2 linked regions of the Rattus norvegicus genome follow. The protein of the gene in region 1 purifies or fractionates together with the protein of each later gene. This does not show direct contact. Links are inferred from orthologs where the notes say so. Each region holds a gene or a part of one and is shown on either strand. Other genes may lie near its edges. The genes, in order: Pitpnm3 and Vapa.

What was found.
Region 2: the proteins of Pitpnm3 (region 1) and Vapa purify together in Homo sapiens (co-immunoprecipitation; 3 studies listed by BioGRID and IntAct, with this or other methods). This does not show direct contact. The link is inferred for Rattus norvegicus from reciprocal best matches to the Homo sapiens genes PITPNM3 and VAPA.

What each region holds. Positions count from the first base shown.
Region 1 is NC_086028.1:57,262,158-57,266,629, forward strand, and holds the start of Pitpnm3 (membrane-associated phosphatidylinositol transfer protein 3), read right to left. Parts: upstream 3,030-4,472; 5' UTR 2,759-3,029; coding exon 2,737-2,758; intron 1-2,736. UniProt on the Homo sapiens protein: Catalyzes the transfer of phosphatidylinositol and phosphatidylcholine between membranes (in vitro). Binds calcium ions.
Region 2 is NC_086027.1:112,634,053-112,637,859, reverse strand, and holds part of Vapa (vesicle-associated membrane protein-associated protein A), read left to right. Parts: intron 1-412; coding exon 413-565; intron 566-1,234; coding exon 1,235-1,338; intron 1,339-2,053; coding exon 2,054-2,134; intron 2,135-3,807. UniProt on the Homo sapiens protein: Endoplasmic reticulum (ER)-anchored protein that mediates the formation of contact sites between the ER and endosomes via interaction with FFAT motif-containing proteins such as STARD3 or WDR44.

The sequences.
Region 1 (4,472 bases):
CTAACCTCAGCTAGGCTTAAAGATCCAGGCAGAGAACCCAGCCTTTGCTGCTCCAACCTGCTGCTTCCCTGGCCACGGGCAGCTCTGTGCAGAAAATGACCATTTCCTTTACAGAGTTCCAGTCCTGTTCTCCTCCCCACCTCCTTCTCTGGTTTTCATCCTGTCTTCTTTTGTCCACACAGCAAGACCAAGGAGCATTCTTCCTTTCCAGTATTGGAGATGGCAAACTCCTGATTTCTGTGCAGCTGAGATTGCCCCAAAGCTCGAAGACTGGTAATAATCAAGTTGGACCCACTCTGCAAATTAATCTCATCCTTCCTTGGATCTGATTACATTTTCTCGTGTGCCTGGATTCTCCTAGCTACATGAAAGTCCTTGAACTGCCTTCCTGGCACAGCTGGCACAGCCTTGGCTGGCTGCTCAGGATGTACACTGTACCACTCCAGCATCACCATTCATCGTGCTGGGATGGTGGTGCTGGAACTCTACTGTGTACAGCCTGGAGTCGGGTACAACAGCCCCAGGACCCAAAGCCCATCTCCTCGCTCAGCAGCTGGGCCCCTGGCCAGTTTTCAGAGGAAATCCCACACAAATCAGGAAGCAGACCCCCTCACTCATGGGCAAGATTCCCTACAACCCCCCTTTATTCCAGTCTCACCTCTCAGTGTGGAGGGCTGATCCTTCTGCCTTTTAGTCTGTGTATGGTACTGAACTGCCATCTTTCTCTCTCGGGCCTCGGTTTCCCCAACTATGAATAGAAGCCCTCGGCCGCCTCTGTTGTAAAGCTTAAGTCTATGATTCAACATAAACGTGCTTGCTGAGAGAGAGTAGACATTCCTCCACACTGTGTGTTTTCAAGTCACTGGGTTTGAGGCAGCTAAAGGAAAGAAGGGATGTGTGCAGGCTGTCAAGTTGCCCAGAGGAGTTGAGAAGGGAAGAGTGGTCAGATCTTGCCAGAGGTCATCTGCAGAGCTCCTTGTGGGTAGCAGCTGAGTAAGGGACAGAGGCACCAAGCAGGTGGTCACAGAGGAGGGAAGTCTGGCTTGCCCTGAGGGAAAGGACTGAGAGTGTGAAATGGAAAAGTTGTAGAGTAGCTTCAGGCAGCTGGGAGGCCCGGCAATGTCTTCACCTTCCATGGACCTCAGCAACAGCCAATGCCTAGGACCTGGGGCTGCCTCTCTCCCAGAATGAAGAGGAGGGGAGTAGAAAAAACTTGGCCTTGCGTCCAGGCTCTGCCTAGACCCTCCCAGCTGCCCTCAGGGAGCTATTTGCTTCCAAGGGTTTTAAAAAGGGGAGTGCCTTCCTACTTCTCAGGATCGTGGGGCAGTAAAGGGCTTGAGGGCTTTCATTACTTAGTACACAGGTCAAGAAGAGATTTCTCTAACTACTGTTGCTACTGTGGTGCTCTGGCAAGAGACCTGTGCCTACACACGAACACATGTAGAATGGGCAGCAAAGACACGATGCTCTTTCTTTATGAAGAGCAGGGGTGGGGAGGGACCAAGGTGGGAGAAAGAAGGGAGCAGAGAGCCTTTTCCAGCCTCCCGGTGTCATCTCACTGTGCCTCCCTCGGGAGGGGAGGGGAGGGGAGTGGGAAAGGGGGTGTTCAGATGCATTTGGTTATGCTGTCTCACACAAGCAGCCTCTCCCTGACAGGATTCCTCTGTAATAGCAGGCACCTGAGTCACAAGGCCAGTGCATGCCAAGGATTGGGACCTGTCCCAGGGCCACGGGAGCTCAACGGCACTCACAGCTAGAGTGTAAGCAGGTGACCATGTTCACTCCATCTTTACAGTGTCTATGGGTGGGGAAGTGGGTTCACACCAGGCCCCACAGGGATGGCATGGCACCTGCCCGGCGTCACAGGTTGGGTGTGAGTTCATGGCAGAGTCTCACACGCCAGCTCCCAGGCTCACGGCTGTTGAGACCAGCCTCACCCATTTGTGGCCAGCCCTGTAACACAGGCTTTTCCTCAACTTGGCCTTTTAGGGCACTCTTGGGGCCCAGGGCCAGAGCGGCGAGTTGGGGGCTAAATCTGATCCCCTCCAGGTCCTAGCCAACTCACAGGGCCTGACATCAGAGCAGATGCTGGTGAATGAACGCCTGGCTGGATGAATGAAGGGACGACCAGAGCCTACTCCCTGCGAACCTTGGGCTACAGCTCTGAGCTTGCAGAAGAGCAGAGCCCATGGGACCCCCCCACACAGGCCCGGCCTGCCTAGCCTGGCACCTGAGGCACTGCCTCTGGGTCGGGTGGGGGGCGGGGCGGCTCCCCAACCACAGAGTACCCCTCCAGCGGTGGGACCAGTAATCTGGGTCTCCTGACCCAGCTGGTGGCAGGGGCAGGGGACTGTCGCATCCAGGCAGAGTGACAGGACAAGGGGGCGCGTCCTGGTTTGTTGGGCGTGGGATGGGTCGGTGGCCACGGGACATCCCCTTTGGGTTCCGGTGCCGGGATCTACTCCCCCGGTCTCCCGGAGGGCAGCGACAGCTCACAACTGCCGACTGGACTGAGGAGCCGCAGACCTGACCCAATGTAGCGGGGCAAGCGGGATGCGGTGTCCCGCGAGGTGACTGGGGGCGCGGGAAGGACGCAGGGCGCGCGGAGCCCCTTCTACACGCCCAGGGTCCGGGCGGGTCGCCGAGGTCACTTTGCCTCCGCCCATCTGGTGGGGGGGCTCACCTGGGCCGAGCGATTCCTCCCGCCACCCGCCGCGCGCCCCGTGCCGCGCTCACCTGCGCTGCCCGCCTTAGCCATGTCCCGGGCGGCGGGCTCCGCTGTGCTGCCGGCGCTGCTCGCTCCCGGCCCGGCCCCGGCGCCTTCGGCCGGAGCGGACTCTCCGGGCGCCGCGCCCCGCGCCCCCGCCCCGCTCGCTCGGCCGCCTCCACCGCAACCGCCGCCGCCTCGCCGCTCCCTCCCGCTCCCTTAAAGGAGCCGAGCGGCGGCCGCGCCGCTCCCCCCTCCGCGCCGCCGGGGAGGGACTGACGACGGAAGGCGCCCGACACCGCCCCCGCGGGCCCGCACCCCCGCCCGAGCCGCGCGGCCACCGCAGCGCGCGGGAGGCACAGCCCACTGACTGCGGCCACTGAGACCACGACCCTCGGGGAAAGACAGACGTAGACAGACTGGGGATTACAGCTCGGAGACGCTAGCGGGCCGGGCAGGGATGGAGATATGGACGGCGAGCCTAGGGCGCAGTGACCCTGAGGCACCGCACCCGAAAGACACACTCCTAGGGCAGAAACACCCTTGGGGGAGAGAGAAAAATTCAAGGAAATCGGAGCTGGCTAGATAGAGTCCGTGAGGACAGAGTGAGAGAGCAAGGAAGACCAGGACCCAAGAGACCGAGAAACCTAGAACGAAGTCTCGCTTGGTTCGTGAGGGGTCTTCTCCATCAGCTTCCAACTCTAGGGGTGCTGGATGCTTGGATCTGCTCTAGTCTCAAAAGAGAAAAGCTTTTGTCCTTTAGCACCAAAGGACCTGTTAAACCTGCAAACCCCACCTGCCAGGTCACGCTGAGCAGGATTTATGGGGGGCCTGGCAGAAAGCAGTGTCCCCCTAATACTTTTCTCACAGAAGTGCAGACATTCTAGTTAACAGACCTCCTGAGACATTTAAATTTCATTGTTTCTGCCCACTGCAGTCAGGGGATCCACAGAAGATGGTCAGTCATTTCTAGGGGGCCTAGAAGGTAGGAGGATCCTGGAGAGAATAGTCCTCTCCTAGCCCAGTTCCAGGCTAGGCCACTTCCTCCCTGCTGTCGGCTAGAGGGAGGGCTAGGCTCCTCAGAGGACTCTTGTGCCTTCCCTGAAGCCTGTTTTTCTCCCACAGTATGCAGCCAAGCACCCTGGGCCAGCCAGGACTTTAGTGTCCCATCCACTGCCCCATAGAAAGAAAGCACACAAGGGGTCTCCGTGGACACGCCCACTTCTGGGCTTAGACTCCTTCGGCCTATCTTTGTTAACCAGCCCTTACACTCACTCCCTCTTGATTCTATCAAAGGCTCAGTCCCTCAGCCAAGAGCATTTTCAAAACTATTATTGCACAGAGCTAACAGCAAAAATGTTCTTCACCTCAGCAGAAGACTATCCTGTACTCATGGGCCTCTCCTTGCCTTCTGATGCCTCACCTACCAAACCAGGGTTTCCTAGGATCCTCTGTGCAGGCCGATGTGCTAGCCACCAGGCTTTGACAAACATTGTCCATCTTAGTTTTAACTATGACTGACTGTCTCACCTTTCAGGAAACCCTTTAGTCCCAAGGACTCCAGAGTGGGACAGCAACACATCCTGTAGACATGGAAGTTGAGAAGCCCCCAAAGTCATGAATTCAAAGCTGTTCACCAGCTCAGGCTACTGGCAGGAAGGGCATGGGTACCCCTTTCCACCTCTAACCCTGGAGCGCTCCCCCATATTGGAACTGTAGTGCAGTGGTTGTTACAGAGCGAGCAGTCTCTGTGTGGCTTTCTGTG
Region 2 (3,807 bases), on another chromosome or scaffold:
TGAGGCAGTGAGTACTGTCAGGGTTTGGTTTTGTATGGCCTTGTGAGCTCAAAGATCAGCACTGGTGACGACCACTGGGGACTGTCAGTCATGTGATGTGGTAGGAACATGAGGACAGTTTTGGCTGACAGGATGGCTCATTGGATGGAGATGCTTGTTGCCAAGCCTGAGGGATGGAGTTTGGTTTCTGGACCCCACATAATGAAAGGAGAACACTGGTTCTAAAAAGTTTCTTCTGATCTCCGTGTAGATAACCATGACACGTGTTCATACGTGCAACACACAAGCAACAATAAATAAATGTAACCAAAATTAAAAACCTAAAATCATAGTTACTTTGTGGATGAAATCACCAAAATAATGCTTTTGTGAATCCAGTTAATTTTCTTTTCCTCTGCCCCTTACCTTACAGGCCCCTTCACAGATGTAGTCACTACAAATCTTAAATTGCAGAATCCATCGGACAGAAAAGTGTGTTTCAAAGTGAAGACCACAGCGCCCCGCCGGTACTGCGTGCGGCCCAACAGTGGGGTTATTGACCCAGGGTCAATCGTGACTGTCTCAGGTAGCAGTTATGTCCTACACTAATGCAGTTTTGAATATTGACATTTTTATCTGTTTATTGTTTGGCTTCAGTTTTTGTCTAAAGGTTTTCCTTGGGTATCTGCCATATAAAATTTTACTGAAACTTTCCTACTCTGAGCTTGTGTGTGGGTGTGATTAGTTACTGTCAGTCTGAAGCATCATCTAGTCTCTGTTTCCATAACTGTCTTTCCACCGTAGTCTGTATTCTTACTCATCTTTGAAATGGCACTGTTTTGTGATTGAATCATGTTCTGTACATCCACAGAAGTGTTTTGAGGCCTTTGCTTAAAAAAATGTATGCCTGGGGCTGGGGATTTAGCTCAGTGGTAGAGCGCTTACCTAGGAGGCGTAAGGCCCTGGGTTCGGTCTAATTGTCAAGGAGTTAATGACTTTCTTTGTTTTCTTAAAATTAGATTTAAACAAATGAACACATTCTAAGTAATTGTTTAAAATCCAGTTTAAAAATGGGTTATATTAAAAGTGTTTCAGTTATCCAAATTAGAATCAGCAGAAAATGAATTTACTAATAATTGAAAGTTATAACGTGGCTTGTGCATCTTGAGACTACTACGTTTGAGTTTGACCCCATCTTGCTATTACGCTTGTGTGTTGCTGTGGTGGTGATCATGTGCCCTCTCTCTTTGTTTAGTAATGCTGCAGCCCTTTGACTATGATCCGAACGAAAAGAGTAAACATAAGTTCATGGTACAGACAATTTTTGCTCCACCAAACATTTCAGATATGGAAGCTGTGGTAAGTGTAGAAGTTGTATTTTTGGAGCTGTGGTTTAAATTTGTTTTGTTTAACTCTCAACAATCCTGACTTCCTTGCCAAAAATTAATTATCAGAACAAAATTAAAATTTAAACAATTAAAAAGCCTTTTAGTTTTTTGACACCCCCCCGCCCCCCCAAAAAAAAAAAAGGAAGACATGATTCTGCCTGTTCTGGAACTTTGTAGACCAAGGCTGACTTTGAACTTAAGAGAGATCCTCTTGCCTCTGCGTCTTCCATCACAGAGCTGGAAGGCATGCATGGCCCACCAAGCCTGAAATACTGTTCCTTGGGAACCATTTAGAAACACTAAGGTGAAGAAGACTCGTGTGTGTTGCCTTCCATTGCATTCTGTGGGTCAGAGGTCAGCTGGGTCAGGCTGGCCTCCCAGTCTGTCTACCACACAGTGTGGCTCCTAGGATGGACTCAGGCCACCAGGGTGGCAGCAGTACCCTTGCCTTCCTGGGCCCAGTGTCAGTGTGGCTTTAATTGATGGTGATGGCAGAGACACTGGTACATGATTGTAGGCGACCTGCAGTCAACTCCAGCCAGCAGCAGCCGAGCTTTCGCTTCCTGACGGGGCCGTTGTCTAAGCCACCGTTCCCAGGCTTCAGTTGTCCCCTCTGGTGAGACCTGAGTGCCACATGCTCTCTTTTCTCATCTTTGGATTTTTGTTTTGTTTCTTTTTCCTTTTAGTGGAAAGAGGCAAAACCTGACGAACTAATGGATTCTAAACTGAGATGTGTATTTGAGATGCCGAATGAAAACGATAAGCTGGTGAGTAAGAAAGAAACCTTGGTCGGTCATCAGCCTCTGACACTGGGCTTGTAGTGCCTGGTCATTTTATGAGACGTAAAAAGCTTGATAATGCTATTTCCAATTTATGATATTTTGTTTGCCCAAGAAGAAGTAAATATTACACGGTAGGTCCAAATTTCAGTGTGGAAAGAATTTCTGAGAATGCTCTCAAATTCTGAAATCATGTCTTTATCCTTTTTCTTAAAGAATAAGACATGCATATGCAGATACAGCTATAAAATCAGGGCTTCTTTTTGGGTAATCATCAATATTCTTGGACTAAAATATATAATTTACAGGGATAAGTCATCTTCCCCCCAGTTTAGCCTTTGCCAAACACTTTGCATATTTTTGTCTTCTGATCAAAATCAATTTTATTTTTTAGTGAATAATTGCTTATTGATTAGCATTAAGCAACTACATATTTGGGGGGGCTGAAGGATAGATATGTTTTTGTAGCAGACCAGTGGCCTATGCTCTATATAATATAAATTAAAAAATTTTTAAAAGTATTTTATTTTATGTGTATGGTTGCTTTGCCTTTATGTATATCTGTGCTTGTGTGGTGCCCTCAGAGACCAGAGAGGGCATAGGTTTCAATGCTTTTGAATTGCCATGGGTGGGTGCTGGCAATGGAACCCCAGGCCTTGTGGAAGAAGAGTAGCCATCTCTCCAAACCCAAGGATTTTTCATTTTTTCTGTGGTTTGTAGGAGGGACTATAGAACAAAGTTTTTGTGTGGATTGAAATGTATAAAATACTGTGGGTAAATGTAATTGGTATAATTTGGTTATAGTCTGGTATGACTCTTGCTTTGATCTGGTAACTTGTTTGCTCTATTCAGAGTAAACTATATTTCTTGATAAGAAAGCTGAAATAAAAATGCTCATAAACGTTAGTTAGGTATTGACCAGTAAATGACTTAAGTTTTCAACACATCTTTTTTTTTTTTTTTTTTTTTTTTTTCCGGAGCTGGGGACCGAACCCAGGGCCTTGCGCTTGCTAGGCAAGTGCTCTACCACTGAGCTAAATCCCCAACCCCTTCAACACATCTTTTTAAAGTGAATCAGAACCATAATTGCCAGAGTAAGAAGTACAGTGTTTAGACTTTATATGTTAGTTTCCCTGTTTATCTGTGCTGGCTCCAAAGATAATAGCTTCCATTGCTTTTTGTATTTAACAACCAAAGATAAATTTATCTTGATTGACATTACTGTAAAAGTGATTTGGGGATATTAATAATAATAGTAGTAGTTATTATTACTATTACTACTACTTTTGTTTTTTAAGACAGAGTTTCTCTGTATAACCCTGGTGACTTGGAACTCACTCTGTAGATCAGGCTGGCCTCAAATTGAGATCTGCATTGCCTCTGTCTCCTAACTGGGATTACCACCAGTCAGGCTTAGTCCCTACATTCTTCTTCTTAGATTGGTTTATTAGACCTTCCTTTCTTTCTTTCTTTCTTTTTTTTTTTTTTTTTTTTTTTTTGTTCTTTTTTTCGGAGCTGGGGACTGAACCCAGGGCCTTGTGCTTCCTAGGCAAGCGCTCTACCACTGAGCTAAATCCCCAACCCCTTATTAGACCTTTCAAGTTGGCTCTTAGCACTTAAACCAAGTAATCATTAGTGACCTCTCATTTTTAACATTTTTA